Rhinolophus ferrumequinum: one gene and its partners. The protein of the gene in region 1 purifies or fractionates together with the protein of each later gene. This does not show direct contact. Links are inferred from orthologs where the notes say so. Each region holds a gene or a part of one and is shown in the gene's direction. Other genes may lie near its edges.

Evidence for each region.
Region 2: the proteins of HIF1A (region 1) and CUL2 purify together in Homo sapiens (affinity purification with western blotting; 7 studies listed by BioGRID and IntAct, with this or other methods). This does not show direct contact. The link is inferred for Rhinolophus ferrumequinum from reciprocal best matches to the Homo sapiens genes HIF1A and CUL2.
Region 3: the proteins of HIF1A (region 1) and FASN purify together in Homo sapiens (affinity purification with western blotting; 3 studies listed by BioGRID and IntAct, with this or other methods). This does not show direct contact. The link is inferred for Rhinolophus ferrumequinum from reciprocal best matches to the Homo sapiens genes HIF1A and FASN.
Region 4: the proteins of HIF1A (region 1) and STAT3 purify together in Homo sapiens (affinity purification with western blotting; 4 studies listed by BioGRID). This does not show direct contact. The link is inferred for Rhinolophus ferrumequinum from reciprocal best matches to the Homo sapiens genes HIF1A and STAT3.

Annotation. Positions count from the first base shown.
Region 1 is NC_046289.1:33,431,328-33,438,294, reverse strand, and holds the start of HIF1A (hypoxia-inducible factor 1-alpha), read left to right. Parts: upstream 1-3,962; 5' UTR 3,963-4,245; coding exon 4,246-4,280; intron 4,281-6,967.
Region 2 is NC_046288.1:5,835,099-5,842,094, reverse strand, and holds the start of CUL2 (cullin-2), read left to right. Parts: upstream 1-3,980; 5' UTR 3,981-4,141; intron 4,142-4,204; exon of another isoform or gene 4,205-4,380; intron 4,381-6,996.
Region 3 is NC_046304.1:54,837,653-54,844,561, reverse strand, and holds the start of FASN (fatty acid synthase), read left to right. Parts: upstream 1-3,905; 5' UTR 3,906-4,070; intron 4,071-5,862; 5' UTR 5,863-5,870; coding exon 5,871-5,997; intron 5,998-6,534; coding exon 6,535-6,687; intron 6,688-6,909. UniProt on the Homo sapiens protein: Fatty acid synthetase is a multifunctional enzyme that catalyzes the de novo biosynthesis of long-chain saturated fatty acids starting from acetyl-CoA and malonyl-CoA in the presence of NADPH.
Region 4 is NC_046304.1:38,168,564-38,176,198, reverse strand, and holds the start of STAT3 (signal transducer and activator of transcription 3), read left to right. Parts: upstream 1-4,616; 5' UTR 4,617-4,902; intron 4,903-5,390; exon of another isoform or gene 5,391-5,411; intron 5,412-7,635. UniProt on the Homo sapiens protein: Signal transducer and transcription activator that mediates cellular responses to interleukins, KITLG/SCF, LEP and other growth factors. Once activated, recruits coactivators, such as NCOA1 or MED1, to the promoter region of the target gene.

The DNA of each region.
Region 1 (6,967 bases):
CTTTTTGCATTAGAGCCTTTAGCATATCAATCATTGTTATTTTAAATTCCTGGTCTGGTAATTCCAAAATCTCTGCCATATTAATTCTTGTTCTGATGTTTTGTTTATCTTTTCAAATGGTTATATTTTGCTTCTTAGCATGTCTTGTAATTTTCTTTCTTTTTTCTCTTTCTTTGTTGTTGTTGAAAGCCAGACACATTGTATTAGGGGAAAGGAACTTAAGTAAATAGGCCTTTACTATAAAGTTTTATGTTTATCTGGCTAAGAATTAGTCTGTGTTATTATTTGCTGTAGCTGTGGTGTCTGAGGCTAAAATTTACTCTAGTGTCCTTGTTTTTGTTTCTCTTGTTGTCTTTGAATGTTCCTAGTGACTCTTTAAATGGGCTCTGAGACTTGCAGTTCTTTTTGCTATAATCCTGTTATTACACTGGAACCCTACTGTTGTGGTGTTATGGTAAGGTGAGGGAGAAGGGAAAGCATTCTATAGTCCAATGATTAGGTTTTAGTCTTGTGAGCCTGAGTATGTGCCTTCTCCTATGTTGAAGGCTAGAGAAGGCTGGAGTTGGGTGTTTCCCTACCCCAAGGTTTGTTAGGCTCTGGTAAAATAGTTTTCCTTGAGGGCTGACTGTATGAAGAACAGAGAACTCTGGGACTATTTTAAAAAGGTTAGTTCCCTCCCACCCCCGACTCCAAAAAAAGCAAGAGGTTTTTCACAGTGAGAATCTGGTAGGGCTCCTAAAGGTAAAACTCAGGAAAGTTGTGAGGCCCCTCTGAGGCTGAGCCCCCTTGGAGTTTTTCAACTCTCAAGCTGGTCTACACAGAGCCTCCAGCAATTCCTCAATTACAGTGTGAAGTGTTTCTACTGATATTGGCTCCAACTGTGATGCTGGCTTCAGGTGCTGACTTCTGCTCCTGGTAAACTGTGATCCTCTGATAAGCAGTTATTCTCTATAACCATTGGTTCCTCCAGTTTTCACGGCAGCAGTTCCCTGAAACCACAATTCTCTGATGGATCTAAGAAGAGTTGTTGCTTTTCAGTTTATTCAGCTTTTTTTTCTTATTGTGAAAATGGGAGCTTCCAATCTCTTTCATGTTGGACCAGAAACTGAAAATCCCTTGACATTCCTTTGTAAATTTATGCTTAAAATGTCTATCATAATTAAAATGTGCTAGTGTTAAATTTTTGGTCTATTCTTATTCTCAATAAACTCAGACAAATATACATGTTTATTTTCTGTTGTCATCCTTGAAATAAAAAAAGGAATTTTTAATGTTTATTAACTTCTAAGCACTTTCCTTCCAAATGATATACTTTTTGTTGTTGTTCGTGTAACAGAATAGGTTAGGGGTGGGGTGGGGGTGTGGAAACTGAGGGTAATGAGCCAAGAATCACTTACTGACCACTAATTAAGTCTACTAACATAGTTTGATACACTCTAAATTACCTGAATCTGATGTGTTTCACTCTTTAAAAGGCTCAATGCTCTACATTATTTAGTAGTAATCCAAATTTCAAGTTTAACTTGTCTCCTCCTGAATCACTGCCCAACTTCCTACTAAATACGTGTCAAGGGTCAACTGAGTCATTTGAAAATAATCTTGCAGTCTACCTAGAAAGTTCTGCAAAGTAATTTGGAATAAAATTTGAACACTTACAAACATTACAAAGTGATTGAATAAAGCCATTCATTAAGGTTTATTTTACATTGTAACAGCCTAAGTCCATTTATTGATAGATGGTTTTAAAGAAGATGATGGGATAAAATTTTATCCTACAGAAAATTTTGCCTTTTATTTAACATTCTGTAATTTAACAGGATTGATTAAATTAGAGAATACTATTTGGCTCCTCTGTAATTATGTGAAAACAAATTAGTTAAATATTACTGCTTTCCGCGTTCATATAGGTATGTGTATATACGAAGGTATGATAATTAAGTTCGCGAATGCATCCTAGAAAAAGTGCTACATACCTCATTGCTGAATATCACAACTGTTACCTTCGAAGTACTCCACTTGGGAAGCTATGCACTGATGCCAGCACCTAGTCCACACTTCAAAGCAATTTTGGAACTCTTTTTCTGGAACGGCCATCAGAGCTGTTGTATTACCTTTGATGTCCTGAATGTCATCAAAATGTCTTCCTTTCAGTATTTCCTTTATCTTCGGGGAAAGAAAGAACTCATTGGGGGCCAGATCAGGCAAGCAGGGAGTGTGTTCCAATAGTTATTTGTTTACTGGCTAAAAACTCCCTCACAGACAATGCCCTGTGAGCTGGTACATTGTCATGATGCAAGAGCCATGAATTATTGGTGAAAAGTTCATGTCGTCTAACTTTTTTGCGCAGCCTTTTCAGCATTTCCAAATAGTAAACTTGGTTAACTGTTTGTCCAGTTGTTACAAATTCATAATGAATAATCCCTCTGATATCAAAAAACGTTAGCAAAGTCATTGCAACAAGTTCATGAACTTAATTGTCAGACCTCTTAAAGATCTTAAAAAACAAGTAACATTAAGATCTTGAACTATTATCTTTGTGGGTGTACCGACCAGTTAAAGAGGTGCGATGTGAATTGATAGCTGTCTTATCGGAATTTAATGCTGTTATATAGATCATTGTTTTTACACAGCAATATAATTGAAATCCACTAAATATCCACATTAATTAACATACAAACCAAAGCTAGATTGCAACAATATAACTAAAAAGGCAAAGGTGAGAAATGATCTAGTGTAAAGTGGATAAATATATATATACCCAGTACTTCTTTACTGATTCAAAATACATTTTTTTTTAACATTTAAAAGACTGACAGTCTTGAAATGTATGCTTCCAAAGCCAAAAAGTGATTAAATCTTATTCAGTAGCTTGCAAAGTCATGTTAGCAAACAGGTAATACTGGCGGCCACCATATCCAGTTAACTCGGGTTCAGAGGTCCCCTGCCCAGGTCTGGGTGGGGATCTAGAGAATACTTCCTTTTTCCAGTCCACGCAGTGAACTCAATTCCAGGTGATAAGTCTCAAATTAAGGGTCGTCTTCCTTTTTTTCGAATCCAAGTAAGATTTTTTTTTGGGGGGGGGGCTCTTTTAAAAGCAAAAAAAAAAATAGAAGTCTACTTAAAGCCATTTTTCTTGCTCTCCCTGAAATTCGGCTTGATGCTCTTTTGTTAAAGCCACTTATACCTATTTGTATATGCTTAATATAATTTCAAACTTTAAGATTCGACTACTTCCTTTGAGAGGTTTACAGGAAGAGAGGTTTATTTTCATTTACTCAGTAATCAAACTTCATCACAGGGAAACAGTGGACAAGGAGAGCACCTTTGTGTTTTCTACCGCAAAGAGTGCAGTCGGTGACACGGTCCGTGGTTAGGTAACCTGACAAGAAAGACCCCATTGTAATACATGTGGGCAAAGGGACCGAAAGGTTTGCAGCCACGACGTGAAAAGTCTGTTTTTTTTCAACTGGGACTCAGTAGAGCTGGCGGCAACCCTGCACTGCACAACCGCGGAGGAGAAAGAGAGCGGGAGACCTGCAGCAACGAGCAGGAAATATGATGCTGGCTTGGGACCCACAAACCGAAATTTCTTCTCAGCAGCGCCTCCCAAAGCCAGCCCCTGCCTTCCCTAGGAGAAGGCGCCAGGTCCCCGAACTCAGGCTGGCCGCACCCCAGCGCCTTTCTTTTGCCTCCGCAGCTGCACACAGACGAGCACGTGAGCGCGGCAGCGCGTCTCAGCTGTGCCTCAGCTGACCGTCTCTTGATTGGCTGAGACAGACGTGGGCCGGGGTGGGGACTGGCCGCCTGCGTCGCTCGCCATTGGCTTTCAGGGAACCCGCCTCCCCCTCAGGTGAGGCGGGCTTGCGGGAGCGCGCCGCCGACACTTCTTCCCGCCCCCGCGCGCGCCTCCGAGCGCGCCTCCGCCCTTGCCCGCCCCCTGTCGCTGCCTCAGCTCCAACAAGCACAGAGCCGACTCGTCTGAGGGGACGCGAGGATTGCCACCGCTTCGGCCAGTGATTCGGATCAGGCCCTGACTAGCAGCCCGAGGGGAGGCTCTTCTGAGCCGAGCCTAGAGTCCGGCGATTGCTGCCTGCTCCTCCTGCCTCTGGTCTCACGAGGGGTTTCCCGCCTCGCACCTCTGGACGTGCCTCTCCTTCTCTCCGCGCGTGTGGAGGGAGCCAGCGCTTAGGCCGGAGCGAGCCTGGGGGCCGCCGGCCGTGAAGGCATCGCGGGGACCGATTCGCCATGGAGGGCGCCGGCGGCGCGAACGACAAGAAAAAGTAAGCCCATGTCTTCCGCGGGCCGCGTTCTCCGTGGCGCCCCTGCCCGCCCTCCGCTCCGGGCTCGCGGGCCGGCCTCGTCGTTCTGGGGGGGGGCCGCCTTTTTGTTTCTGCCTCTTCTCTCCTCCCCTCTTTTTCCTCCAACCTCGCGGGCCGGGCTCCCCCTCTGTCCACGTCGCCATCTTGTCGTGGGGGGCGGGAGACGCATTGAAAGTGCTTTCAGGGGCCGGGGGCTGGGCCCTGCTCGCCCTCCCTTGCAGGCCGCCGGGGCCTCGCACCGCCTCCCTATCTGCGTCAAAAAGCCAGCTTGCCCTGTGCCCCCATTCGGGTGGACTTCCCCTAGCCAGAAAACCCCGGGAGAGAAATGAGCCACAGCTCGGTCGCCGCCGTTTGTACCCGAGCTTCTGCTCCTTCCCGCCCCCATCCTCTCCGGTTCCATTGAAAACTCGGCCCCGGGGCGAACCCTGCACGCGGGTCCTGGCTTCCCAATGGGATCGGGGCCCCGGGTTCCGGACCGTGGCTCGCGTGGTCGAAAGCGATACTGCCCTGCGGTTGTCCAGCCGTGGGGGGTGTCTGTGCCTTTGTGCATTAGGGGTTTGTCGCGGTGGCCTGAAGATGCTAACTTTTTAGTTTGCACGTGCAGGTTTTGTTTTGTGTTTTAATCGCCTTGAAAAACTTCCCTAGTCTGAGAGTGGAGTAACGGGAATTTAGAGAAACAGCAACATTTTAAAGAGAACATCAGAATTGGATACTTGTATTTATATCACCTGTCAAGGAGCCCAGACATTACAAATGAATATATGCCTCATTCATTCTTGAAAGTATTTTAGTGAAAACGTAGCGCTTGGCTAAATTTAGGCAAACATTTTTAATGAGATTGGAAAAAAAGGTATGTGATCAGAGCAAATGAAATACATAACTAAAAAGTTGCAAAAATTTTTAGAACTGTCGCATTTTCCTGAAATTGAAGTATATTAAAGGAAAACCTTCAAAGTACGTCTGAAGTAAATAATCATTGTTAGAATTTAACGCAAGTTTTTAGAACACCTTGAAGTTTGAGTCTAAGTGGTATATTACAGGAATGTTAGTTGAAACAGTGGGATTCAATGACCCTCCCCCCCCACCCACACTGAATTTGGTCCACTGGTATTTTAACCTTTGAGAAAATCATTTTAAGGAATCGAAGATTTATAATAAAGAGTTGTGGTTAGTAGACTGGCTTTACTGTTAAGTCCTTCCACTCTCCTGGCAGAGATTAACTTCCCTAATCAATGTCAGCAGAAGATAAATTTGTTTATGTTCTTGCTGTTTTGTAGATGCCGTTTTGGTCCTTATTCAATGGAATGATAAATTCTCAGTTTGTGACACCAGAGAAAGCACTTATAAAATTCAAAAACTCACTAAACAGACCTATACTTAAATTCTAAGAGTTCCCAAGAATAAATTACAATTAATTTTGCAGAAGTGATTACAATGCTTTTGATGAAAAGATGTGGTCTCTGTATTGTAAACCTAAGGCAGATTACCTCTGTGTAGTGCCAGTTTTCTGTTATGATATGCTGAATCACATTTAATACTGTACATTAAGTTATGCACCGATCACTTCCTTTTTATATACAATACTGTACTCATTTCTCCTTTCCAATTCATGAGTTGAGAATATCATAAGCAGTTTTAATACAAATATTAATTAGCTACTATGCATCACCCACAATTCTAAACTAGTTTTTGGATTTTTTTCCTCAGTCCCATGTGTTATTTTCAAAATTTTATCTTTTGAAAATTTAGCAAATTTGGATCAGATGGATTCATATTTCTTTATATGGAGGTTTTTAGACCTGAAAGTTATGTTAAACACTTAATAAATGGTGGCTACTCAACAATTTTAGGTACTGTTTGTTAAGGATGTCTGGTTTTTGCCCTTTTTAAACTAATTTTAAAACCTTTTGAAAAGATAACTGAAAGATGGAGGGGCAGGGATTTTCTTATTACAATTTTTCCATTTTAAATGAGCCTCCAGAGTCCAGGTGGGGGAGACAAATTTGTCTTTCTTTAAAGAAGGTCTAGGAAACTCATAGCTGCAGGATTGGAAGAAATCAGATCAGAGGATGGGTATGGTTATAATAGATTTCACATAAGGCCTTTGATGTTGATTCCTTAGGGGTAGCGGCTGGCTTTATTTAGTAGCACATTGATACAGATTTTTAGATTTCAAAGGAATGTCAAGAGGTTCATCGTTCAGTTTCAGATTTCAGGCCAGACTTTCAAAACCATATAGTTATTGGATCATTAAAGTAAAAACTCTGAGAATGAAGTCCTTAACTTCCTTCTTTAATTTAGGTCATTAAAAGTCTAGAGCTCTCTCATTTATTAGTAACTTTTTTCTTGTTACAATTTTACTTTGATTTTCTACTTGTTGGAAGAAGAGTATGCCTGGTGGTTGAGCCAGACACCTCACCTCTAAGTTAGAATCCAGCCTTTTCACATTGTTAGCTTTGTGAACTTGGGCAAATTACCGACTGCTTCTGAGCCTGTGTCCAGCTTTTGAAATGATAATAATAGCAGCCATATTAGTAGTTATTGTGAAGATTAAATGAGATTATGCCCAGTGCCTGATTTAGAAGTCTTGGTAACACTGTGTACTTGAAAATAGGTGTTACCTAGTAAAGTTCTAGTTTAAACTTCTA
Region 2 (6,996 bases), on another chromosome or scaffold:
TCAAGGGAACATACTATCAACAATGAGTTATTACTAAAGTTGACCTTAATCATCTAGCTGAGGTGGTATTTGTCAGGTTTCTGCACTATAAAGTTACCCTTTTAAAATTCTCTTTCCATACTGTAGTCTTTGGAAGGAAGTTACTCTTCCTGGTTCACACTTAAAGAATGAAGAGTTAGCCTCTCCCTCCTTTGTGGTGAAGTATCTACAAATTTATTTGGAATTCTCCTGCATGAGATTGTTCTTTCCCATTTAGTAATTTATTCAATCATTTATTTATATTAGTGTGCACCCATTGATATTTATTTTATACTTTGGGTTATAATCCACTACTACTTTATTTTTTTGCTCAAATTGTTCTAGCTTTGGCCATTGGGAGCTCTTTCAGTTTTGTGCCCTTTGATATATAACTCCTATCAATGTGGATGCTTTTATTTTTGAGTACTTCTTTACTTTCTTACACTACAATATTCTCCAAGCTTATCTTGCGTATTCCTGCCCCTGTCCTACAGTCACATATTTTTCTGAAGACTTTCAGTTTTATAAGCACAAAACAACTCTTTAATCAGCTATCCAAACATGAAAACTATTCTTCAGTATCTCATTTTTTTAAGTTTACTAGAAACAAAAGGTGGAAATATGTTTAATAAATGGTATAACCAGGAAATGCAAATTCCCAGTAAAGATTTAAGAAAAGACAATTCAGATTTAGTGTATGGAATATAAAAATGAGATAAATTATTTGAAATTATAAATGTCCCAGAAAAATTAGGGCTGTTTGGGTTTTATGTCTATAAAGGAGGTTTATGAAGACAGGGAATGATTCAGGTTGGATTCTTCAAATAGTAGGTAAAAGGGAGATTATGAAATGAACTTGGAAAACTTTGAAAGAGAAAATTATGTATACTCGCAAGTAGAAAATGAATAGAAATGGACATACTTTGTTTATCGATTTAAGAAATGATATTTAGAGATATTCTACTTAAAATATTTTTCAATAATTTTCCTCTTTAAATATTAATTTATAAATTACTTTGCCTGACTAAGAATTATTTAAGTGTTTCATAAAGATCAGTAGCTAGCTACAAAATAGCATATCTATAATGTGATCGGACTTGTGTAAAAGTGTTTAATCATATTCAAAGAAAATATCTTGAGGAATATTTATCAGCCTAAATATGATTATTTCTGTAATATTAGTTGTTTTTTTTAACAAAGAAACATTTATTACTTTTGAAATCAGTAAAAAATAAAGGAATTCAGTAAACATTATACAAAGTCCAAACATAGTTTAGTGATATACGTAGTCTTGCTAAAAAGTAAAACAAGGAAAGAATTTATAAATGAACTAGGGTTTGAGGTTAGTTCTGGGGTGAAGACCAAGCATTGCTTAAAGGGGTGGCTTGAAGGGTTCTTCACAGGATGCCTTTATTTTGGGGACGGGGGAAGGAAGAAGTAATCTCAATTTCATATTATGGGTTTGGATGCTGTAACTTGTTTAGAAATGTAATTTTCCTATTATATTGGTTGGATAAGCTATCCAAAGGTGAGAGATCTCTGAGATTTAGAACTAGAGAACTGTTGTAGTGATTCTTGTTTGGCACCGTTCATGCTAGTCTGAATCTTAGCTAGAATTTAAAAGGAAAGTGGTGAGAGCAGAGGTAGTTTATGAGTCAGGGCAACGGTTCTCAAACTGGTCTCTGGACCACTTTACACTTTTAAAAAAATTGTTGAGGTACTCAAAGAGCTTGTGTTTATGTGCATTATATTTATCAATAGTTACCATTTTAGGATTAAAAAGAGAAATCTAAGAAATCTAGTTATTAATTAAAAAATAATAAACCCAAACATATGTTAACATAAATTGCATGTTTTTCTGAAAAGTAACTGTATTTTCCAAAATAAAAAAAATTTAACGAGAAGAATGGCATTGCTTTCCATGTTGCCTATCTGTTTAATATTTGGCTTAAAAGAAGATAGCTAGATTCTCTATGGTTGAGGTGTATGAAGAAAATACGAGGCCTTAGGAGGAGAATTTAATAGTATTTTCGGATGAGTGTGGATAGTCCTCTCTGACACTACAGAAAATTTGACAAGTGGCAGTTTCTTAAAGGTTAGTTGTAATGAGGAGTCTAAAACCAATCAAGGAAATTTTGTATTTTGTTTTTTATGTGTACACACACACACACACACACCCCTATCTATCCATTAGACCAATGGATCTTTTATTGCAATTTGAATGGATCTTTTATTCATGCATGCTTTTGTAATATCCTGCATTGATCATTTGGAAAATATTGGTTCATTGTGGCATGTAGCTCTTCTATACGTTGACATATCTCATACAACATCCAAAAGTCACATTCATTAATAGCACTACAGTCTCAACAGAAAAGTCTTTAAGCTTTCAAGCTCGTGGTGGTGAACACTAGTTTTCCAAATTTTGAAATTTTACTTAAAAGCTGTATTTTATTATTGGCAACAAATACCGTCAGCTGTTTTGCTTGAGGTGCTAGGCTCACTTTGTTTATTTTGGAGAAATATTTGTCAATTCCCAAGTCAGAGTAATATTAGTTTGTCTGTCAGTTGTTCTTTCAAGGGAAAATGATATTCCATGAAAAAAGCAGCTAGTTCAGATGACACGTCAGCTACACAAGTGTCTTTCTTCCATAACCATCCTACTTTGGTATATAGCAGAAGTGTATATGGACTTCCCTTTTCTTCACTCAAAATATTAGAAAGACATGTACACAGGGTTGACATTTATAAAATTAATACTTTTTACTACTTCATCAAGGATATTCCTAAATCAATTAGAAAAAAAACAAAACTGGGAGTGTGTGGCAGCGATCCAATGACTACTGGGACAGCTTTGTACCATTCTCTTGATTCTTGCTAAGGCAATATCAGCAGTGTTACTGTTGCTTTGCACCATCAGTACAAATGTGAACCCAATAAAAAAGAGAAAGAACATGTTGTATTATTAAGATTATTTTTAAACTTGGGACCCCAAAAAGGTCTTGGAGATTTCAAGATGTCTGGGGATCACCCTTTGAGAATTGCTGAATTAAAAGAGGGAGAACATGTGAGAAAAAAGGTCGTATAATGGAAACAAATGGTTGAATTGAATTTAGTATATAATAATTTTATTAAAACAAAGTTCAAGTGCCATGAGAAGCAGATTAGAGGAGAAAGACTGGTGGGATTTATCAGGTCAGGAGACAGGACTTTAAATGGGCCTTTGAAGGATCGGTACAAATAGTTTAAAAAAGAGGGTTGGAACGGAAAGGCTTGCTGGAAACGTACAAATGAGGAACTGACCAATACTCGGACAAGACTGACCACTGAGATCTTGTGGTTAGGAGAGGCAGGTAAGTAACATAGCCAGGCTTTTGTTCCTTTTGTACATGGGAAGGTGCTAGGTAAATCCATATTTTTGTCGACATTGCCGTTTAAAATTGTAAGGGAGGAAAACCCTTTAGACTTGGTATAATGGTGGTGGTGGGGAGGTGGGAAGTTAGTGGTCAACACCGAGAAGTTTCTTTATTGAAAATACCTTAACGTTTCAGAATTTGTTTACAGATGAAAACCCACTAGCAAAGGAGTGTGTCAGAGCGACAAACAGTATTGCTCATATATTTCTGATGATTTGAAAACCCCATGGAAGTGGTGTGGCAAGGAGATTGTGGTGCCTGAGAATATTCACATACCGGTAGGTCTGAAACAACTCAAAGGAAAACACTTTTGTTGAAAACACCTTTCTGACCTACTGTTATTAGCATGTCATCCCCAAACGTGCTGAGTACTGAGTCTCTTGAGCTCAGCGAACCGTCATTGCCTCATTCACAGTGAGGACCGCAAGGAGTCCGTCCGGATTCTGTGTTGATTTCCGCGGCCTTTCGCAATTGCACTAAAGCAGGCTCCCTGCGCTTGCCGTAACGGGGACTCTACCATTGCGCCGCAAGGGGGGGACTCGGAGGCAGCGGAAGAGGGAGCGCGGAGGGTGTGTGTCGGGAAAAGCCCGGCGCTTGGGAGGACGATTGTTTCACGGATCCAGTAACCAGCCCGTTCTTTCCTACCCACCCCCCTCCCCTTCGCCCCTGGCCCGTCGGGGCTTCTCTGTGTCTCCGCGCGGCGGCAGGTGAGCGTGCGGCGCGCGGGCTCCCGGGCTCCGCGGAGCACCCCCCGTGTCTTCAGGGCGGGTGGCGGCGGCCGGCCGGGGAGGCGGCCTCGGGCACAGTAATGGCAGCGCTGTGAGCAGGGGAACGCGAGTGACAGCCGCCGCCGCCGCCCACCTTCCTCGCCGGGGCTTCGTCCTTCATTCTTTCGGGCTGCCTCCCCTCCCCTAGTCCCCTGCCCCTTGTCCTGCTTCTGCAGAAGGTAACCCCGCTGAGGGTCGGGGAGTCCGGCTGCAGGCGCGGGGAAACTTCCCTTACCGGTTGATGGGTGGCGGAGATTGGGCGGAGGAAAGGAGTTGGGGGCGAGGAGGGGGGAGGGGCGAGGAGTGGAGGAGGGTGGTCAAGGAAGATGGTAAGTGACCCTGGCTACCCTGAGCGCTGACCCCTAAGCCCGCCACCCTCTGGCCTGGATTCCGGGCCTCCCCAACCCGGCCTTGGGCGCCCCTCCCTCGGCCCCATTTTCCTCCGAAGGAGGGAAGGTGAGAGTGTGTCTACTCATCTGCTTATTTACGTGCTCGCAGGGCTACACAACTCTGTTTGGCGGGGAGGGCATCCATCGCTACATCCTTACCATGAGTATTTTCACTTTTGTTTCCGCAGACAGCGGAGATTGATAGCTGTGGGGAGGAGTAGCCGACGTACATGCTCGACCTGTGTCCACATTTAGGGTCTCGTGAAATAAGACCCTTAGGCTCTCTTCAGGGCACTTACACCCTGGGGAGTGTGGACCGTTCCCTGCCACTCCACAAATACGTGCATGTGCATAACACGTCTGTGAATTGCAGGCTGTTATTATTAACAGCAACAGCCTTGGATTCATGGATTTCCCCCAGGGATTAGTACTATTACCAGTTGAAGGGCAGTACTTCGGAAGTTTAAATTTTGAAGATATACACTGTTAACATTTACTATAGATTCTTTGACTTTACAGTATAAAAATCTTGGAACTAGACCTGTCCCAAACCAACATTCATAGTAAACTATAGGATATAATCACTTTGTTCTGAGTGACTACTGACTGCATAATAGCCATTTAAAAACACTCAAAAGACGGTTCCCTAACCTCAGAATCTCGAATTCCTTTCTAAGACAGACGAATGAACAGAGTGGTTATACTTTGCTTCTTTTGCCCAAATACAGTGTTTGGAACACCCTTCCAAAAGAGTCACAGATGAAATAACAGGTGTACACCATGTTTTGAGTCACCCTTTTAAAATTTTTTTCAGATGTTGTTTATAAGTTGGGACATTTCTACAGTGTGCATGTACACAGTGTGTGAAAAATACCTTTTCTGTATGTTTGAATGTTCACCTGCATCTGAAATAGTCTTACTTCACCCCCGCTGGTGATTTTCAGTATTTTATAAATGTGAAGATAGTTTATCCATGTCTTTTATTCTCACCAGTCTGTCACTAAATTAAATCTTGTAGACCTTCTTTAAAGTCAGTTTTGCCTTATCTATCAGTTAAGTATTTATTAAGCATGCAATTTTTATGCCAAGCATTATTGCAGGCTTTAGGGATACAAAAATACACAAGACACATGAAATTTCTGCCCTCCTGGAGCTTTAATTCTGGTGGGGAAGGGAGAGACACAATAAATAAGAAATAAAAGTAATGTCAGAGAATCATAAATGTTTCGAAGGAAATAAAATTGGGAGTGGGAGTTGTAGTGAGTGGGAGAAGACTGCTTTAATTGCTGTGGTCAGAAAAGACCTGTCTAAGGTGACCTTTGAGCTGGTATCTGAAAAGGGTGAGGGATTTACCCTTTGGAGATCTGAGGGAAGAGTGTTCCTTTCTGGGGGAACAACAAATGCGTGGAGGTGGTATCAAGCTTGGGTTCACAAACCGAAGGAAGCTCAGTGAGGGTGGGCTCTTGTAAAAGATAAGTGAGGTCACAGCCTAGGCCAGATTACATGAGGTCTTATCGTCCAAAGGCCTTTGGCTTTTATTTTTAAAGTACATTGAAAAGCTATTGGAATTTTTCTAAGGCCGGGAGTGATAGGGCCTGATTTACGGTGACTATGGGGGAGATTGGCTAAGAGGAAAAAGAAAGCAGGGAGACCAGTGAAAAAGGTGTGGCAGGTTGAGTAGTTTGAGTATTAGAGACAAGTAAAAAAGGGTTTGCCGTATGTTTTGGAGTTAAAGGTATTTATTGAACTTGTGGTGTGGATGGAAGTGCAGTTGGTTGGGACAGAAGTGATGTCTAGGCTTTGGGCTTCAACTGAAGGATGGTGATGCCACGTATTGAGATGGGGAAGAAGTGAAGGAAGCAGGTTTTTACACGGGGATAGGGTAGGATTGGGCATGTTAAGTAGGACCTATTAGATGTAGGACCTAGTAGATGTTCAAGCAGAGGTGAGAAGTAGGCAATTGGATGTACAAGTCTGGAATTCAGTGGAGAAGTTAAGGAGTATTTCAGTCAACAAATATTTTTCAAGCACCAGCTACGGACCAGGCAGTGGGAATATAGTAGTGAAGAAATATACAAAAATGTCTGCCTTCATGAGACTTAAATTCTAGTGGAGAGAGAAAGATAGAAATGGGGAATCATCAGCATTTATTTGTTGGGTTATTATATTTGTGTTTTGAATAAAAACTTTGTATGATTCAAAATATAAAATGTTTGATGGAGGTATAGAATGAAAATCTCCCCAATTTGTCCTCTGTCACTCAGTTTTGGTTGGAGCCAGTATTGTTTTCTTACTTATCCTTACAAAGATGTATTTTGTGCGTGTATAAGCAAATACATATTCTTCCTCCCACTTTGCAAAAGTGGTAGCATACTTCACCTGCTTTGATACCTTGTATTTTTTAGA
Region 3 (6,909 bases), on another chromosome or scaffold:
CTGACTGCTGGGCCCACCCCAAGGGACAGCCAGTCTTGACCTTGCATCTTACAATTGCTTTTTTTTTTTCTTTTTTTTAAAGATTTTATTGGGGAAGGGGAACAGGACTTTATTGGGAACAGTGTGTACTTCCAGGACTTTTTTCCAAGTCAAGTTGTCCTTTCAATCTTAGTTGTGGAGGGTGTCATTCAGCTTCAAGTTGTCCTTTCAGTCTTAGTTGTGGAGGGCGCAGCTCAGCTCCAGGTCTAGTTGCTGTTGCTAGTTGCTGGGGGCGCAGCCCACCATCCCTTGCGGGAGTCGAACCAGCAACCTTGGGGTTGAGAGGACGCGCTCCAACCAACTGAGCCATTCGGGAGCTCAGCGGCAGCTCAGGTCAAGGTGCCGTGTTCAGTCTTAGTTTCAGGGGGCGCTGCCCACCATCCCTTGCGGGACTCCAGGAATTAAACTGGCAACCTTGTGGTTGAGAGCCCACTGGCCCATGTGGGAATCGAACCGGCAGCCTTCGGAGGTAGGAGCATGGAGCTCTAACCACCTGAGCCACCGGGTCAGCCCTTACAATTGCTTTTTAATAATATCCTTTTTGTTTTACAAAAGAAATACATTCTTAGCTCTAAAAACTTGGAACATAGAAGCTCGAAGGATCAAGAAAATCACCATCAAAGCCCCAGTGTAGAGGAAGGGCCGCTCTGGCATGCTGGCCCACATGGGGACGTGTGCTGCCGCACCCAGGTCCTTGGCCTGGGCCTGGCCACGTGTGTCCAGGCTGCTGGGCAATTGGAGGTGCAAAGGCTGGCTGACAGTGGGCAAGTGCCATGAGTCACCCATTAACCTTGATAGCCCCCCTCCAGGGAGCCATTACAAGATGGCTAGGACAGGAGACGGTTCTCAGGGCCGAGTGTGCTGTGTACCCAGTGGAGGGACAGGCTCACGCCCTGCAAAGCATCTGGAGAGCGCGTGCCCACAAACCTCCTGTGCGGTGACATTGGCCTGGGACCTTGCTGCCACTGAATGGTCACCACGGGAGGGCCTCTGGCCTGCACGGGGCTCCCGTGCCAACAGCCAGGGCGTGTGGTCTCGGTTCCTGCTGGCAGGAACCACAGCCGGTCGGTGTACACTCAAGTGAACTGCTTTCTAAGCACATGGCTTCCTGGCCTGGGATGTAACTGCATTTTTCTGTTCTCTCACCTGGTAGAGCTCACAGCACCTCCAGCAGCTGACAACCTCCCACACCCTGACAGCCCTGTGGCCATCAAAGGGATGAAGATGAAAGGCCAGGCCAAACCCGAAAGACCCTCCAAGGCCCACCCTGCCAAACCTAAAGGCTACCAGCGGCCCCCTAAGGTCCGGAACTACAACTTCAAGGACTGACTTCCTTGGCTACCCTGCCCTCTCCTCCTGTCCGTCTCTCCCACTCCTAGTTGGCCCCTGGGGCCTGTGCTTTAATCTTCACCTCAGGGATGCGTGTGTGTGCCCACATGGGGAGGGGGGTGCTGTGAGCTGCTGGGGTGCCTCACAGACCGAGTGTGGACTGCATTAAAGCCGGTTGCCTGCTGGCCTGGGAGCTGTTTACCTGTCCTATTTGGGAGGTGTCTGGGCATCAGGACTATGCCCAGGAGAGCCAGGTTGCCCATGTCACAGCCCACAGGCGCCGGCAAGCCGCAGGGCATGGAGAGCAGAGGCCCACCACAAAGCAGGTGGACCCCACAGAGCACAGACCGTGAGGAATGAGGACCGTGAGGCTCCGTGACCCCACGCCAGACCAGAGACTGCCTCGCCAAGCTGCCCCCACATGCTCTTTCGTGCGTGCTCTCGTGCTCGCGTCAGGGTGCAGCTGGGGTGGAGGTGGCCCCAGACCGGGCAACTGCAAGGGTGAGAAACAAACTTATGCCCGTCACTCCAGGTGCTGCAAAGCCACACCCATTCTCCCCCACCAGAAGAACATGTCTCAGGGCACCGTCCTGACACCGTGGGTTCTAGGCTGTCACAGCCACATCGCCTGTCTTGGGAGGGAGGGCAGTGTGGGGAGATGTCCCTGTGCTCAACTCCCCTGGCGTTTGCACCTGGTTGGCACAGCAGTGCTGAGGGCTGGAGACAGGCCTGTCCTCACCCCAGGTGGATGGAGCATGACTGTGCCCTCAGGCTGCCTAGGTGCAGCACTGATGCTTCCCAACGGGGCCAGCTCTCACCCAACAGGAGAGAGGAGACGGGGAAGGCTGGACCCAGCCCTCCCTGTGTGTGACCTCTTGGGCTTCAGTTAGCCCCCGTGTAAAATGTAGACAGTGTCATCTACCTGCCTGGCTCACAGGTGCTGCCGGATGCAGGGCCGGGAGATCACAGACCTGGTGTGCGGTTCTGTGGCTCATGCCTCCCTGGGCATCGGCAGTGTGCTTCACTCAGCCCCCTGTGAACACGCGGGCAGGGAGGTCAGCCTTCTCACGGGGCCAGAACTGCTCGTCCTGGGCGCGCGGGCTTCCGGGAGAGGCAACGGCGGTGACTCGGTCAGCGCCGCCGCCGGGAAATTGCAAGCTGGAGCAGCTGCGCGGGAGGCGGGGGATGGAGGGCGGGGGGTCGGTGCTCTGCTGTTTCCGGCATTGCCTCTTCGAATGCCTCAGGGCCACGTGACTTCTTTTAGTTGAAAAAGTGAATGGAGATGCCGGGTCACTTTCGGTAGACTCACTTAAGAGCTCATGATCGAGTCTCCGACCCACCCGCCCTCCGTGGTGCGAGCCCAGGGTCTCGAGCCCAGCCCGCCCAGCCGCTCCTGGCCGGGGACCCCAGGTGTCTGATAAGCTCTTAAATCAAAAGAGGAAAAAGACAACCCGCGGAGAGGTTGTTCAGAACAGCAGTTCCGCTGTGGGAGCTCCAAGCTCTCCCCTTTTGCTGTCTTGCCCTTCCTTCCACTGTGCAGGAGCCAGAAGCCCCCAGTGAGCAGCGGGGCAGGGAATTGTAAGTTCCATAACCGTTTAAGCAGAATTACAAAGGGAGGGCCTGCGCCAGTGAGCCGGGACGCAGAGCTGAGCCTCCGCCGGTGCGCATGAGCGCGCGTGGGTGCGAGTGGCCAAGTGCGCGCGCGAGTGCCTCTGCCCAGGGAGGCTCCTTTGTTCGAATCACACCAAGCGGTGTCCGTGCAGAGCCCGCTCGCCAAATGGCCGCGCCCCTCCCTGCGGCCGGCTCCGGGGAGCCGGCGGTGCGCCCACTCGACCCCTGCTGGCTCGGGAGGCGTCCGCCCGGCTTCCCGCGCCGGCCCCGCGAAGTGGGACGGCCTGGCGGAGAGGACCAGTCCCCTGCTGCGGTGACCGGCAGTAACCCCGGCCAGTGCGCCCCCGGCTGGGTCAACGACCGCGCTCGCCCGCCGCGGCCGGCGCAGCGCTGGGGCCAGCCCATCACCCTATCGCCTAGCAACGCCCCCTCGCGCGCCGCCATTGGGCCTGCGCGCACGCCCCCGGCCCCCGATTGGCCGCGGCGGCAAAACGAGCCACGCCCACAGTCGGCTGTGCCCGCCCCAGACGCTGGCTTGTGCGTCCGTCCGTATGGGGGTCCGCCTGGACTCTAATGTGGCCCCGGCGTGACCGCCCGCCCCCACCCCGAAGTAGCCCAAACACGCCCGGTCCCGTTTAACCCGCGCGCCGCGCACACGTGGCCCCCGCGGCCCTGGGGGTGGGGACGCACCGCGTGCCCTCGGGGCGGGAAACGGAAGTGGAGGGCGGGGGTGATGCGGCGCGCCCCGCCCCAGCGCCCCCCGAGTCCTCGGCCCACCAGCTAGGCACCTCCCCCCAGGCGCGGCCCCGCGCAGGTCTCGGCGGCGGCGGTGGCGGCGGCGGCGCGCAGCATCACCCCACTGGCGGCGGCGCGCCGGGTCCCGGGGCGCAGCCCCGACGCTCATTGGCCTGGGCGGCGCAGCCAAGCTGTCAGCCCATGTGGCGTGTCCGCGCGGGGACGGCCGCAGTTAAATAGAGTCGGCGCCGGCCTAGAGGGAGCCAGAGAGACGGCAGCGGCCTGGCCCCTTTCTCCGCCGCGCTCCATCCTCGCTCTCAGTCGCCCGCCCGCATTGCCGCCCGCGCCCAGACCAGGTACCAGCGGCGAGCCCGGGGTCGGGGCGGCGCGGCCGGGCCCGGAGGGCGCCGCCGGCCGGCATCCTCCGGCCACGGGGCGCCCGTGGTGAGAGGTCGCCCTCCGAGGCCCGCTCGGGTCTCGCGGTCCGAGCCCCGTAGAGCGTCCGGGGCCGGGTGATGAAGGACCCGTGCGCCGCGCCCCAGGCCTGGTGGGACAGATGGACGATGGCGAGGGGCGGACGCCAGAGAGTGCCGCGAACAGCCATTTTGGTCTCGGAGTGGGGTTGGCCAGGCAGCTGCGAACCCCCGAGGGCCGGTGGGAGCACCCGCCGCCTCGTGCGCGCCGGGCCCCTTGGCGCCTTCAGAGGTCTCCATGCGGGCCGGGCCCCTGAGCTCCTCGACCGCGGCACCACCTCCTCTCCTCCTCGTGTGCCGCATAGCCGAGGCCCAGCCCCAGCCGGAGGCTCCCTTCCAGCCAACCGGAGGGCCGGGAAGAAGGGAGGGATGTGGTGGAGAGGCCCCCGGAGCCGGGTGAGGACCGGCTTCCCCACCACGTGGGCGCCGGCCGGAACCCCCAAAGTTCTGGGGTGGCAAGCAGCTCCAGCCCGTTCGGTGGCAGCGGCGGGGCGGACTGGCGAGGCGGTGCGCGCTGCGGGGGTCTCCACCCCCCGTGTGGGCCCCGCCGGACTCCGCGTGAATAGCAAGTAGGGAAGAACAGAGCTGGCGCTTTCTGGAGGAAGCAGCCGCCCCGGAGCTGGTGCCCCTGGGCCCGCAAAGAGCTCTTTATTCAGCGCTGGGGGAGGGGGCTCCTTCCCTGCTGAGACAGCAGGGACACTCGGCCACCCAAGGAAGTCGCTGCTCTCCTCTACTCAGCCCGCCCTTGTTCAGAGAGACCCAGGAGGGCAAAAGGTTGGCGTGCCCACCCCCACCGGACATTAGCACCACAAGGCCCTAGGGCATTGGCAGAAGTTGCTAGACCAACCCTGATTTTGTCCCTTCCCTCAGGGGCTGCAAAGGAGCCCCCGTCCTGCACCCACAAGCTCAGGGTGGCCAGGGCTCCCTCTGCAGGCGCCTTGGGGACCTGGGTCAGGCAGGCTGCATGGAGGTCAGCAAGTAGTATCCTGCGGCCTCACCTGCACAGGTGTGTGGGTCTGCGCAGCACTTGCCTGCAACCTGACCAGGAAGTTCTTCGGGTTGGCCCACTGTGGAGCAAGGGCCACTTTTCCACAGAGCCCTGCGGGCCTTGGTACCCACATCCCTGCCCAAGTCCGGGCAGTTTGGTGGCATCGGGCCGTGGAGGGTACCCTGGGGTGCTGAGTGAAGGATGGGCTGCTGCTCCTCCCCACCCTTGATTCCCTTCCCTCAAACCTTGGCGCCCGTTCTCCCCTGTTTGATTTCCTGGGCCAGCTTTTAGCAGGCTGACGGCCAGGTGGCCCTGTCCTGGGAAGGGGTTGGGCCCTTCTCTGGATGGTCCTCCCAGGAGCACTGCAGCAGGAGGTTGCAGAGGCCCCTGACTGCTAGGGGGGTCCACAGAGCAGCAGGCCATCCATGGTGGTATCACCCAGGTCGAGGCCCCAGATGTTACAGGCCAGTGCCAAGGCCCAGTAAGAGGTGAGGGCTGGCTGGACCAGAGTTGAACCCACACACACCCTGGGCTTCCATCCGGGAGGCACAGGACCAGGAGCTGACCATTTGTCCCTTGGTCTGGGGGGGGCCTTGGTCCTCCATGCTGCTCTCAGACCTGTGAACGGGCCAGGTGGAGGAGGGCAGATGCTGTTGGGGCCAGAGCTGACCCGTGTCCACCCCGCAGGGAGCAGCATGGAGGAAGTGGTGATCGCTGGCATGTCAGGGAAGCTGCCCGAGTCGGAGAATGTGCAGGAGTTCTGGGCCAACCTCATCGGTGGCGTGGACATGGTGACAGAAGACGACAGGCGGTGGAAGGCCGGTGAGTGGGCTCTGGGCTCTGGGCTCTGGCCTCAGGAGGCAGAGGGTGAGCCCTAGTGTGCCTCCTTGCCCACTTTACAGCTGAGCTATGTGACCTACTAGGTCCCGGCACCGGGGATAGGGCCAGGGGTGAGGCCAGGTGGGCGAGAGCCCGGCCGGCCACTGCTGGCCCACATGTCCCAGGTTCTCGGGAAGCTGGTTTGACTCCCTCACACCCAGTAGCTTCCCCCGCAGGGTGGCTCTACCTGATCTACAGGGTGTGAGTCAGCGTGGCAGGGCTGGCCCAGCTCGGGCCCAGCAGAGGGTCCAGGATGCTGGCGGGCGGTGGGACGCTGCGGTGCCCCACCACGCTCTGCTCTGGGGTCACAGTCAGCCACACGCTGCCAAGTGACACGCAGGCCTGGCAGAGAGGCCCCTCTTGGGGCTGCTGCCCGCCCTCCTGAGGAGCCAGCTCCCCTCGCAGCAGGGCCTCCTCCGTGGGTCCTGCGGGGCCTGTGACATCCCACAACAGGCGCCGTCCATCTGCCCATGTCTGCAGGACTCTACGGCCTGCCCAAGCGGTCTGGCAAGCTGAAGGATCTGTCCAAGTTTGACGCCGCCTTCTTTGGGGTCCACAACAGGCAGGCGCACACAATGGACCCCCAGCTGCGTCTGTTGTTGGAGGTCTCCTACGAAGCCATCGTGGATGCAGGTGGGTCACCAGGAGCTGCTGGCCAGCCTGGGGCCACAACCTGACGGCAGTGTTTCTGTTTGTTCGCTTCTAAAAGCAGCACATGTTCAGAGCAGAACTCTGAGTGCAGCAGATCCAGGAAGAAGGGGAGCCGAGGTTGTCCCCGGCCCTGAGGCTCAGGAGGCGTGGGCCCTGGGGCAAGTCGGGGTGTCACAATGGCAGGGACGTATCCAGGCATGCCCT
Region 4 (7,635 bases), on another chromosome or scaffold:
AGGGAGAGAAGAATTGATAAAGCTCAGAGAGGGGACAGGTAGGACCAAGAGAACTTCCATTCATTCAATAAGTATTTATTTAGTGCCTGTTTCCTGGGCACTGGGGAGACAAAGGAGCACCAAACAGGCAAGGACCATTTTTTGGAACTGACAGTATAACGAGGAAGAAAGAGAAGAAACTGTAAACAGATAAATGAGAAATATAATAAGAATTCCAGAGGAAACAGCATATATAGAGATTAAGGGGCTGGGAGCAACTTTAGGTGACAGTAGTTAGACAAGGACTCTCTGAGCAGGTGACACCAGAAGGGTGAGAAGAAACTAGTCATGTGAAAGCTGGAGAAAGAAAAAGTATGGCGTGTGCAAAAGCCCTGAGGTGGGAAATGGACTGATTGGAATTTAGTGGGCAGAATAGAGGTGTGGGGGGTTGGTGGGTGGGTAAGCAGGTACTGAAGGGGATTAAAAAAAAAGAAGAATTCCTGTATCCTAAGCCTCATGGGAAGCCACTGACGGGACAGAATGACATCGTATGAATGATATTTTAAGCCGGAAAAGAGCTTAGTGTTGAAAATATTGAGTAGGGAGGACTGTTCTTCAGACAGGAGGAAAGGGAGATGCTTACATGATGATGCCTGAGAAGTGTTTTTGCACAACGAAAGTAGAGATTCAAGGAGTTCGTGTTGCACAGATCTGCTCCTCTGTGATTTTAGTGAGGGGGAGTTGGGCAACCCTGTGTGAATGAACCTTTCTGTTGCTGCGCCCCGTGGGGGTCCCATCACCCACACAAGTTGCCCGTTGCCCCTTTTGGTCACTGCAGTGATTGCCACCTATTTACCGCCTCCAATGTTCTTCTCCAAATCTTCTCTTTCTTCCCATGTCTTTTTCTTGATTTAGAGTTTTAGTACTAATTCCTCCAGGGAAGAGGAACTAAATAAAACATTTCTAGAATTTTACAAAGCCCGGTAAGTCTCAATTCCTGATCTAGCCTATAGTTCCTCTGAGTCTCTCTGAGGTAATAAATGGAAACCTATCCTGACTACATATTGATGTGTAACAAACCACCCCAAATCTTAGTGGCTTAAAGCAACGACAACATTTATTTTGCTCATGAATTTGTAATCTGGGTAAGGTTCAGCAAAAAAGTCTCTTCTCTTGGGGTGGCCGGTTAGCTGAGTTGGTTAGAGCATGATGCTAATAATATCAACATTGCTGGTTTGATCTCTGCATGGGCCAGTGTGAGCTGTGCCCTCCCCAACTAGATTGAAACAATTACTTGAATTGGAGCTGATGGGTCCTGGAAAAACACATTAAAATGAATAAAAGTTTTTTTTAAAAAAAGGCTCTTCTCTGTTCCATTTGGCCTCCATCGGCATGGTTTGAATGTTGGGGGCTGGAATCAGCTGGAGTCTGGCTCATTCACAGTTGATGGTTCCTATCAGCTGGGTCTTAGCTGGACTCTTGGCCAGAACACCTTTGTGTGGCCTCCACGTGGAGCCTGGGCTTCCTCACAACATGGCGGCTGAGTTCCAAGGGTGAGTGTACCAGGAGAGAGTCAGGTGGAAGCTGTATCACCTTTTATGACCTAATCTCAGAAGTCAGACAGCATCATTTCCACTATATTCTATGTATTAGAAGCAAGTCGCCAAGGGAATGGAGCTAGACTTTATCTTTAGATGGGAGAAGTGTCAGATAATTTGCGGACATGTTTATAAACCACCACAAACTTGCAAGGCTTCTGCACTCTGCCTTATTCACTTGATGGGTGGAGAATGGGGGCCTCATCTTTTCCCCTCCTTTAGACCCTTCCTTGAGGATCCAAGAGGAAGGTTAGGCCTGGAGATATGGTCAAGGAAGAGCAGTTATTCAGGCTTTCAAAGTAGACACTTGGATTTGAATCTTGACTCTGCCATTTTTACCAGGTATATATATGTGGGGAAGTCACTTAACATTGGGTAAGCCTCATTTTCTTCATTTGTAAAATCACAGTATCCTCCGCATGGGGTTATTATAAGGATTAAATGAGTTAATACATGTGCTATATAATACATACTTAGAGTACTGGCTAGTACACAATAAATACTCCATACGTGTTAGCTATTGCCCATATGAGTGTTCAATACATGTTTATTACTATTCAATTAAATCAGGCTTAGGTGAGTTCTGGGCTAGATGTCACATGCTTTCAACTATGTAGGCAGAGAGGCCAGGCTTTGGAGTCAGCCAGACTGGATTCTCATTCTGAGTTTACCTTTAGTTTCTGGCTATGGGACCTTGGACCAGTCTTTCATTTTCTCAGCCATAGTTTCTTCAGTTGAAAAAAAGAATTATAATAGTGCCCTACCTCACTAGATTCTTGAGGATCAAATGAGATCATCTATGTAAAAACCTTAGCTCAATTCCTGGAACATAGTAATTACTTAATAAATGTTAATCATTAATTTTATTTACCAGGAAGTAGGCTAATAAATGGGGCTGAGGTGGATAGGGAAACTAGAATAGGGAAACAACCTGCTAAGGGAGCCCAGCAGAAGAGATTAACTTTGACAGGAAGAATCTCAGAAAGCCCAGAGGAAGAAATATAGGAACTGAGCTTTGAAGAATGAATAAGAGTTTTTCAGGTAGGAAATGGGGAAAGAGAAGATATTTTAGGTGGAAGGGAGATCTTTAATGGCATGAAGCTACAGAGGTGCTGACATGTTTGGAGGAAGGTGATGAATTCAGTGTGGGAGGGTAAGGTTTGTGGGATGGAGGGGATGAGGCTGGAAAGGGGAGTTCAGGTCAAAGCATTGGCTCAAGTGAAAGAAACTGCCATCTGTAAGCGCAGGGGGATTGGCAGAGTGTGGAGAAAGGCCAGTGGCGGGGCTGGAGAGAGGTTTTGTAGGTGGAACAGATAGGCTCAGGGGTAGATTTTCTGTATGAGGGAAACAAAAGCCAGCTGCTGAGAAGGCAGGAGAAGAGGGCAGGGTATTAGTAGATGGAACAAAGTCATGAGATGTGAAGCTCAAAAACCTGGCTCTGGTATACCTCTGAGTAGCTCCTGACCTGAGATTGTCATACTATTTTGGCCTTAGTTTCCTATCAATAAATAATATGGCCTCTCCTATCTGCTACACATAATTATTGTGAGAAAGAAAAGAGGTAACGAGTGTGCAAGTACTTTGTAAGCAGTAAATAACTAAAGAAATGTTAGACCCTATGTTATTAGGGAGGCTGTCAACTGCATGGGATAATACAGCTAAAGCAGAGTTTAGGTGAGGTGGATCACCTCTCACTTGGATATAAATAAGGTGGTAGAAAGGTCCAAATCTGGTCTTTGACTGGGCTTCAGTTATCTGGGGAACCGTGAGAATTTGTGGGTAAAAGTGTATACTGTATATTTCTAGGGCGAGAATCCAACAGAGTCCAGAAAGATCTGTGACCCTCTCCCACCACAGGTTAAGAGTCATTGATTTTTCTCACCAGAAATTAATAAGAATAGCTATCCTTGGGGAGAAATACTGGTGGGGGAAGGAGGGAAATTTTCATTTTTAATTTTCAACTTTTCTGAACCGTTTGAATTTTCTAACCACGAATATGTGTTAGTTTCATTGAAAATAACTGTCATCAGGGGTTATCTGAGTGGTAACATAATTAGGCCCTTTTAAGATTTCATCTTTATACCCCTTTGTATTAAACACTCACAACAAACACAAAAACAATAGCTGTTATTAAAAAGAAAAAACACCTGATAGTATCAGCGCGCGCACACGCACACACAAATTACTCCATCATGCAAAGTACATCCTCTATCATGTAAGGTAAAAAAATATCTACATTTTCTATAAACTACTGGCTTCAATGCAGTAAAACTTGGGTTCGCGCTCAAGCAGAGTAGGCGAAAAAAAGGCAGGCAATTTCAACTCAGAAGCATAAAAATATGTATACGTGTCAATCTTCATATGTACTGTCTTCTGCATTCTCGTGAACTGGCCAATGTGCGAACAGTGGCGTTTGATGCTTAAAGCGACGCAACCGAGAACAGGGTTAAATCCACTACCCTCTCCCCACGCACTCTAGTAATTACTCTATTTCCACGTCATATTTCCGGGTGTGTGTGTCCCGTCTCACGCAGAAACTGCAGTTCAAAGCTGGCGGGAGTCACCCATGTTCTTTTTGCTGTCTCCAGAAACCCAGTTGAGGTGTTGGGCCCCGAGGACCTGGCGATATTTTAGGACTGTCTAACTGGCTGATTCCCACGTGGTTAGTGACTCCCAACCTCGCCGCCACGTGGTGTCAAGGGCCGGGAAAAGGGAGAGCAAGCAGATGAGAGCCGCATCAGGGGCATTTAAAGTGTCTTGACGTCACGCACTGCCAGGAACTCAGCTGAGTTTTTAGCAGGACATTCCGGTCATCTTCCCTCCCTCCCCCTGAGCTTCTGTGCCCGAGTCCTTGGCAATTCCCCTGCTGTAGTGGAGGGAGGAGCACTAAGCCTTCGGAACAGCCATCAAGGGGCGTTCCCAGCCTTGTGTGACCCGCCCTTCCTTCCAGAAGCTGTCCTCATTGGTCAGTGGGTGGGGCTTCGGATGTACGTACATGCACCAGGGCCTCTGGGTGGCTGAGAAAACTGGCCGTCTCATGAATTATGCAGAACGGCGTGTCGCGGCCAATCTGGGGATGGGCGGGGATTGGCTGGAGGGGCTGTAATTCAGAGATTTCCGGAGCTGCGGCGGCGTAGACTGGGAGAGCCTGGGGTTCCGACTTCGCGGCGGAGGGAGTGAGCCCGAACCGATCCTTGGCTAGCACCCCCGCACGGCGCGCTCTCTCAGCGTCTGCCAGGAGAGACCCAGTGGACCGAGGGAGCCCCGCGGCTCGCATCCCGGCGCAAGCGCACCCCGGCCTGTCGGGCCTCAGCCGGAGAAACAGGTGAAGGGGGTGAAGGGTGGGGCCGTTCTCCCCCTACGGCTCCTAGGCCTGGGGACCCCGGGGGCACCGGAGTGACCGGAGTGACTGGGGTGTTTGGGGGAGTTGTGGATCGAAACTTCAGTGGGGCAGGAGGATACAAAGAGACACGGAGAGTCGCTCTGAAGGGACAACTCCTAGGGATGACAGGAGCGGGCCTCTGAAGGGACAGGGGGCGCTGGAAGGAAGTTTCGTTCTTCAGAGAAGGGGGAGGCGCCGAGGAAGAGAGAATGGGTTCGAGGGGGAGGACCGTGGGACAAGAGCACTCTAGGGTGGGGGTGGCAGGAATGAGGGACAGCCCCCCGACTTCCTGCTCTCTGGGGCTCCGGGGACGTTCTGGCCACAGGAGCGACTGTCACGCCGGCGGAGATCACGGGGAGGTGGGGGGGGTTGAAAAGAGCCTTCCCCCCCAGCCACTTCCTCGGCCTTGCGGTGTTCTCGCTCCTTTAGGAGCCAGCTTTGCCCCTCTGGAGGTAAGAATAGGTGTCTTCCCCCTACCGTCTCACGAGCTGGTTGGTTGTGGGTAGGATTATTGCATAAGAATCAAGTTTCCTGTAGGGAAATTGGCAGTCTTGTGCACTCTTTCTAAATTCCCTCCCGTCTTTTACAACGTTAAGCCCTGCTTCCCTCCGCCCCCTTCTAAAACAAAATACCCCCCCCCCCAATCAAGCCAGCTCTAGAGAGAAATAAACCTCTTTTCTCCTTGACATTGTTCTTTTATAAACACCTGGTAAACTCGGCCAGAAGATAAATAATTGAGACCTTCCGTTTACTGGGTTGTGGTGTTGCTTAATTGCATAGGGCAGAATGCACCAATCGAGAGTGGGAGTTTTCTGTCTCAGAGCCAAGATCTTGGGTAAATGCAGAGGAGAGGGAAACAAAGACAGGCTGGCCTTGGTGAAGCCATGTGTGCAAACTTTACCTGTGTTTGGGGTGTGTGGTTGGTCTTAAGTTAGCAGAATTCATACTGTTACTCAAGTTGCTTTTTCCATGTTTAGTACACATCCCTCTGTGTTTATATCAAGTGGGTGTATGGTGTTGACAACACTTCTTCTTATTAAAAATGTACATAATGTGTGTCTGCTGGTTTTTATTGTGTGTATCTAAAGGGTATATTCTGTAAATGGGTTGTAACTTTTTGGCTAGTTGTGCTGATAAAGCATTGGTTTGAATAAATCAGAATAGTGAATCATCTCAGTCTTTTAGATGTGGATTTAGATTGTGTTATGACTTGATTCAGTCAATTTTATATTTTATTTTATATTAAACATCTGTGTTCCCTGAATCAATACATTTATTTCCTTATTACATGTGCCAGAGTACTAGCAGAATCTGCTGGAGTACTAGCAGAATTTTTGCTCAGATATTTGCATAGTGGGATGGGGGAAAGAAACGTGAAATACAGAAAAATTGTAGAAGATGTTGGAGGGTTGATCTTAGTCTATAATTTGTTAGCACACCTTCCACAAAGAACTATAGCAAATTTATTAATCTTTTAGTTTTATATGTAGTTCTTTTGGGAAGAATAATCATTTAGAAATATCCACAGTTATGACTTGACCCACAAGGCATAGATAGTTCCTGTAACATTAATCCTATTTTGTGGGTAAGAAAATTGAGGCAAAGAAACAAGATACTTGTCATAGTGGTGGAACTCACACCTGTACATTTTGTGCTCTTTTGACTATCTATGCTTAAATATTTGGTCTTGATTTAGAGTGAGTGTAGTCCCTGTTGGGAAAGCTGTCAGTGAAATTCTAACATATATCTGGACAGTGAAATACCACCAATAGGCTGTCCTACCCCATAGGAGATACGTAATAAACAGGAGAAAAAAAGTACAAATAGGGTTCGCTTAGGTTATTTTTCTATCTAACTGTGCTGTTTAACTTGGGAAGTAACTAACTTTTTAGTCACATCATTTACCATCAGAATTTAGCTATTTGCTAATGGAAAGAAATATTTATTTAGGCAAGTTTGTAGATGGACAGTCGTGGCCTAAATGTTATTTAAACCAAAGTGCCTTGTGGCTTGATCAGTGGTCATTTATGTCTCCAGAAAGTTGCTTTCTCCTCCCTGCCTGTGCCTGTCTTGACATTCAGATGTGAGATGAGGCAGAGGTAGTGACTATTCCAGACACAGTCTAGCACATTTTCACCTTATAGTTTTCTCAGAGGTGGTGTACAAATATTTACTTTTTGCAACTTAGTGAAAGTTGCTGTGAAGATAAGATGCCTTGTTGACAGAACTTGCAGTCTACTGAGGTGACTTGATAAATGTTTTATCCATACAATGCAACGTGTCCTCAAAGAGATGATGAGACATTAAGCCTATGATCTCTATTGTATATTAAAAGAAAAATGAAAACATATAGCACAGGCATGGAATATATCCATTATCGTGGAAAGTTATTTTGGAGAGTGCTGCACTAAGCGCTACAGGTTTTAGAGGAACGAGAGGTCACGAGACCTGGAATTATCTAGGAAGTCGTCTTGCCAAAGGAGAAATTTCATCTGGGTCCCAAGTAATGGTTGGAATTTGATAGGTATAAAGAATTAGGGGTGAGGAGTTTTGGTGGTATAGCACAAACAAAATCCTGGTAGATTAGGAAGGTAAGTAGGAGAGAAGGAGTGCCTACTTCTAAGAGGTCCTGAATGCAAGACCAAGGATTTTCAGTTTTGACTTTTTGTAGGGGAA